Neurospora crassa OR74A: one gene and its partner. The protein of the gene in region 1 interacts with the protein of each later gene in a pairwise test. Links are inferred from orthologs where the notes say so. Each region holds a gene or a part of one and is shown in the gene's direction. Other genes may lie near its edges.

Evidence for each region.
Region 2: the proteins of myo2 (region 1) and NCU06617 interact in binary tests that used the Saccharomyces cerevisiae proteins (3 or more experiments, as listed by UniProt). The link is inferred for Neurospora crassa OR74A from reciprocal best matches to the Saccharomyces cerevisiae genes MYO1 and MLC1.

Annotation. Positions count from the first base shown.
Region 1 is NC_026501.1:8,033,539-8,036,438, reverse strand, and holds the end of myo2 (myosin type-2 heavy chain 2), read left to right. Parts: coding exon 1-1,531; intron 1,532-1,592; coding exon 1,593-2,090; 3' UTR 2,091-2,399; downstream 2,400-2,900. UniProt on the Saccharomyces cerevisiae protein: Required for cell division.
Region 2 is NC_026504.1:1,814,923-1,818,233, forward strand, and holds NCU06617 (myosin regulatory light chain cdc4), read left to right. Parts: upstream 1-1,303; 5' UTR 1,304-1,434; coding exon 1,435-1,437; intron 1,438-1,978; coding exon 1,979-2,132; intron 2,133-2,206; coding exon 2,207-2,440; intron 2,441-2,527; coding exon 2,528-2,556; 3' UTR 2,557-2,801; downstream 2,802-3,311. Other genes in the region: NCU06616 (S-adenosylmethionine-dependent methyltransferase), read left to right, coding at 1-940. UniProt on the Saccharomyces cerevisiae protein: Essential light chain for the class II conventional myosin MYO1. Also acts as light chain for the class V unconventional myosin MYO2 and for IQG1.

The DNA of each region.
Region 1 (2,900 bases):
GCTGGAGCGTACCGCGTCGGGTGAAGAAGACGCATACCTCGACGAAAGCCCACAGCTTCGGCGGGTGCAGAAGCTTGAAAAGGCCAACAACCGACTTCACGAACTCCTTGATGATTCCTCCAAGAAAGTGTCGGCTTTGGAGAAGGCTCTTCGCACCGGTGAGCTGTCGCTTCGTGACATCCAGACCAGGTCTCATGAAGAAATCCTCGACTTGCTTAATAGCCAGGAGGACTCGCGACGGTCACTCTTGCACAGCCACAAGGATGCGGTTGCAGAGCTGACGGAACTCAAAGAGCACTATGACAAGGTACGACACGAGCGTGCCAAGCTTGAAGTCGATCTCCGCGACGCCAGGTCGGATCTCCAAGAGATGTCGCTCGCCAGGGATCAGGAGGCTGCAAGCCGGAGCCAACTACTCCAAGAGTTTGCGGACCTCCAGATTCGCCTGGATGCTGAGGCGTCCAAGCTGGCTGACGTAACAGCAAGCCTTAACCTCTATAAAGGTCGGGCGGATGAGTACTTCAGCAAACTTGAACAGGCAGAGATTGCCGTTCTCAAGGCCAACCGGGCGGAGGCGTTCGCTAGAGCGCAAGCCAAGGAAGCGGAGGACAGCTGTGCGGAGATGATGTCGGAGAGGAAGCGTCTGGATACAATGATTGAGGATCTGCAACACTCGAACCAAAGGTTGGAAGAGAAGATTGAAGACATGTCGACGGACCTTGCCGCCGTTACTCAGGCCAAGAAGAGGCTTCAGCACGAGCTCGAAGATTACCGCAACCAGCGTGCTAACGACATTGAGGATAAGGAATCGAGCATGGAGCAGATGCGCAAGAAGTACCAGGCCGAGTTTGCGACACTGGCCAACGAGCTCGATCGGGCCCGCGAGGAGAAGCTACGCAAGCAGTCGGAGATTACGAGACTCCGGGAAGAGCTGGACGAGCTTCGGTCCAAGTGGGATGACGAGGTCCTCAACAGCTCGACGTGGTCTAAGGAGAAGGCGCGGCTGGAGGCGACTCTCTCGGACGTGGTGGCCTCTCGCGACGAAGCTGTCAGCGCCCACAACGAGGCTCAAAGCAAGATTGTCACGCTCCTTGGCCAGGTACGGTCGCTCCGCTCGTCTCTTGACGAGATCACGGCTGAGCGCGACGCCCTATTCCGTGAGAAGAGGAGCATCGAGGCAAGGCTTGAAGAGGCCAAGGCTGGTCTCGATGAGCTGGCCAACAGCGAGAGCCCGTCGCTGCGCAACGCGGCGCACATGGACAGGGAGATCCTAGAGCTCAAGTCTAGCCTTGCTCAACAGGAAGACATCGCTGCGGCTGCCGTCGAGAAGATGCGGCGCGCCGAGGCGCTTGCTGCCGAAGTCCAGAAGGACATTGCTGCTGAGCGCGAGAACAATGCCGATTTGCAGAAGCAAAAGGTTACTCTCGAGAAGAACTTTAACGAGCTGCAGATGAAACTCATTGATCTTGAGACCAAGGGCTATTCCACTGCCAGCCACGACATCAAATTCTTGCACAGCCGCATCAAGGAGGTAAGTTTATACGGAGTAGTCCTTGCTTTCTTAGCATCAACAGCTAACTCATCATCACCAGCTTGAATCCCAGCTCGAAGAGCAAGAAAACGAGCGCAGCAAATCCCAGCGTTCCGTCCGCAACGTCGACCGCATCGTTAAAGACCTGCAGTCCCAGATCGACCGCAAGGACAAGCAGAACACGCAACTCCAAGAAGACGTGACGCGCATGCGTGACAAGGTTGACAAGTTGCTCAAGACCATTGACGAGCTGCAATCCTCGGAATCGGCCAATGAGCTGTCAGCCCGTCGCGCGGAGCGTGAGCTGCGCGAGGAAAAAGAAAAGGCCCTGAGGCTGGAGCGCGAGCTCGAAGGGTGGAAAAACCTCCGCATGGAGAAGGGCTCCGCTATGGGCGGCGGCGGCGGCGGCAGCGGCAGCGTGGCAGGAAGTGTGCTGGGTAGTATCCGGGGCAAGAGGACGTTCACAAATGATAATATGCAGATGGATGGTGTGATTGAGATTCCGAAGAGGAAGAGCAGCATTAGTAGGGCGCCGAGTCTGACGAAGGGGTTTATTTGAGCTTTGAGGTGTCTATAGGGATGAAGATGAAAACTTGTTGGTGGTGATGAGAAGAAAGTGCAAGGGGTGTAATTAAGTTGGTATGGTGGAGAGGGCAGTCTCTAGACATCTGGAATAATTCTGTTGGTTTACTTGTCCTGAAGAAAGCTGAGAAGCTGATGTTGTTTAAAGGCCGATCGTGTGTTAGGAAGGGGCTGAGAAGGGCGGAATTAGGTGGTTTCTCTCAAGACGTTTGTCGTACATATAGCTGTTTGCTAACTTTGTATGTTAGTTGGTGTATATGATGAAAGTATTGTGTGTTAGGTTGTGTAGTGAAGGGACTGTGCAAAGCTGCTATACTATCGTGAAAGTGCCGTTATGCGGTCGTTGCGAGTCTAAATGATGATGATGATGATGAATCAAAGCGGTAATCTGGAAGACGTCAAGCTCAAGGTACCCGCAGAAGTCACGAGGTCACGGCGATTCACTTTTTTCTTTTCTTTTTTTTTTTTTTTTCTTTTTTGCGCGCAGGAAGATATGACCGGGCTGTCAGAGGTTTTGCCAAATGCAGTTCGCAAGCGTAGCAGAGCGTGTGCGCAGTTGTTGGGCACCTTCAACCCTGCCGTTCGGAACCCTAGGTCACGATATGATATAAAGTGGTGTTGTTACAGAAACAAAGGGCATCGTGGAGAGTGTTGTGTGTTGGTGCATAGGATATCTGTGTACGTCTTGCTCAATCGTGACGGTATAGGGTATTGCTAAGTAACATATTCGAATCCTGAACGAAAGCTGGAATCGAGCTGGTTTGGAAGGAGGGAAGGGAACGTCGAG
Region 2 (3,311 bases), on another chromosome or scaffold:
CCGCTCGACGTTCTCCTCTGCTGGGTATGCTGCCTTTCGGCCCTCATATCCCTCGGTTCTTTACGACCGGGTGTTGAGATTTCACGGCAAAGAGGCCCCTTCCTCCCCATCACCATCGTCGTCTTCGCCGGCAGCTGGAACACTGCTAGACCTTGGCTGCGGACATGGCTTAGTGGCGCGCGCACTCGCTCCCTATTTCAACCGTGTTATCGCCCTTGATCCTTCGGCCGGCATGATTGAACAGGCTCGCAAGCTAACCGGCGACAACTCCAAGATTACGTTCAAGCAAGGCGGAGCCGAGGACCTTTCTTTCCTTGACGACAATGCCGTTGACTGTGTGGTTGCTGGCCAAGCGGCGCATTGGTTTGACTACTCCAAGGTCTGGCCAGCACTTGCACGGGTCGTGAAGCGCGGCGGAACCCTGGCTTTCTGGGGTTACAAGGACCACATCATCGTTGGGCGGCCGGAAACAACGCCCATCTTTGACAGGTTCATCTACGGCGAGACAGAGCCGGTGCCGGGCGTGGAAAGCATGATGTGCTTTTGGGAACAACCCGGCCGGAACATATTACGGGATTCACTGCGGGAGGTGGTCCCTCCCGAGAGGGAATGGGAACATGTGGTCCGTATTGCTTGGGATCCCAATCGTGAGACGGGCGACATTAGCGATGCTCCGGAAGAGGCCACTTGGTTGCGTCGGAGGCTCAAGTTGGGCGAGTTGGCGAGCTATATTCGCACGTTCAGTGCCTTCAGTGGTTGGGGAAGCGCCCATCCCCAGATGAAGTGCAGGGCGGACGGAGGAGAGGGCGACATTGTTGACTTGATGTTTGACGAGGTTGTTGCTGCGGTGCCGGAATGGAAAGCGGCGGGGGATCGATGGGCCGAAATCGAGGTTGATGCTATTTGGGGAACCGTTTTGTTGATGGCGAAGAGACGATGAACTGGAAAGGTAGTGTACAATTAAGTGTGGTGAAGAGACGATACTGTACAGTGGTGGTGGCTGACGTTGAACCTGCTATCCGGGCAGTATCACCGGCCCCCTTGCGTAACCAAGGTGCTCTCTGTCAGTAGATGTCTCTCTCGATTGAGCTAGCGGGCATGCAGTGCTGCTGTATCGCGAGTTGTCACCAGTGCCAGTGGGTGGTTGCCCTCCATTGGCTGCCACCGCGACCGGGATGCGGGCGCATAAGGTCGGGTACTGCGTAATGGCACAGACCAGTCAGCGCAACTCCCTGTCCGCAGCTCATTTCGCGGCGGGAAGGGAAGCCCAAATCGATCGCCCACTCCTTTTGCATCTAGCCTTGGTTCGCTTCTTGACCGTTCTTCTGAATAGCATCATCTTTCGCATCGAATCCATCAGCCAGCGTACTTGCATCGACTAGCCCTTGCGTCCTCTTTTGCGCATTCAAACGACATTCCCCCCCCTGAGACACAATGGTAAGTGGACCTGTCCCTGTTCATCCGCCGCGGGCACTGGCACGCGCGCGCGCCCCTCTCCATCCCTCCATCCCAAGTCCCAACCCCGACGCACGGAAACAGAAAGCATGCGAAAGCAAGAGCCAGGAACCCCGCGGTTGCCCATGACAACAAAGGCACAAGGTGCCACAACCTTGGAAGCCGCAGCGTTCTGCGTTGAATCGGAGCACTACCTGTAAAATGCGCCTGCGCCTGCGCCCGGCTTGAGCGTTGAGCTGCCAGGTCCTGCTTCGGCATCCATCCATCACAGACCAAAAAAACACCATTCATTTTGCCAACTTTCGATCGCATCGCTGCTCCCTTGCCGCTTGGGTTTCTGCGCCTTGTTCTCGCAACCATCGCCCTCGTCCTCTCGATTGCCGACTCTAGCACGATCGCAAAGCCAGCGCTTTTGCTTACGCTCAACCTACCGCGATTTACTACATACCCGCATTCTTGAAAGAACATTTCATTGCGACAGCGCAACTCAGGAATCATGGCATCTAACCAGTTCGACGGTCAGGCTTCTACCAACTACAAGGAGGCGTTCTCCCTGTTCGACAAGCGCGGCAACGGCCGTGTTGCCCTCGACAGCTTGGGTGACCTGCTCCGCGCTTGCGGCCAGAACCCCACGCTCGCCGAGATCCGCGAGCTCGAGAAGAACGTTGGTGGTGATTGTGAGTAATACCCGAGCGGAAACAAGTAGTTCATCTGAGATTAGTTACTAACAGATGCCCTTCTCATCCGACAGTCGACTTCGAGACCTTCCAGCGCGTCCTCAACCGGCCAGGTGGCTTCCGTGATCCCGGCGAGCCCGAAGAGTACTGCCGCGGTTTCCAGGTGTTTGATAAGGACATGACGGGTTTCATCGGCGTTGGACAGCTCAAGTACATCTTGACAAACCTTGGCGAGAAGATGACGGACGAGGAGGTAGACGAGCTCCTCAAGGCCGTTGATACTAGCTCCGGCCAGGTGAACTATACCGGTATGTCAGCCTCAGCACTTGCTGTTTGCTTGCCCTTTGCGTGAAACCTAGGAGTCTCGACTAACAATATGTGTACGACGCAAACAGAGCTTGTCCGGACCATCCTTGCCAACTAAAATATTGAGTAGAGGTGGTACGGAATGATGACGAGGGAAACTGGGTTTGGAGGTCAAACATCATGGGGCATAGTCGAATAGAAATCGCGGGACAAATCCGTCCACGGAGAAGGCGTCATATACCATCTATTACAGGGAAATCGCATGTGTTATAATCCAGGCAGGCGTCGGAGTCTTGATAAGATATGAATTTGGACATATCATTTACCGGGAACTGAAAGGCTTTCCGGACGTGTGTCTTAACCAACTACGCTAGATTGGGTTCCACGCCTGATCTTTCTTCCGTCCCCTTCTCTTGCGTGACGGAGGCGTGTTTCCAAGTATACGTTGTTTGCCCAGTACTCAGCAGTACAATATTCGTCATGAATCCCTTTTCGCTCTACTCGAAAAAGGGCTCGACCCTGTCAGTTTGCTTCGGGTAAGGCAAATGACATGAAACATCACAAAGGATGAATATGAGAAAACAAGGCCCTGGAGTTTGTATAGTCACTGGAAACAAGGCCAAACACGTTTCCGTCTTCCTTCGAATTCGGGCTCAAAGGGGATGTGGGGATTCCGATGTCCCTTTTCCGGCCTTCAGTCTGGGTACGGTCAGGAAGTGGAAGCAAGGTGTATCACTTGGCGGTATCTTTGGAGATGTTAATTCCTGTGTTGGATGACCAGAGAGGGGGTAACCAGTACTCAAATACTGCATTATCTAAAGCATCTATGTAATGTTCCTGCAGTAGACTGGTAACTTACAATGTCCGGTCGCG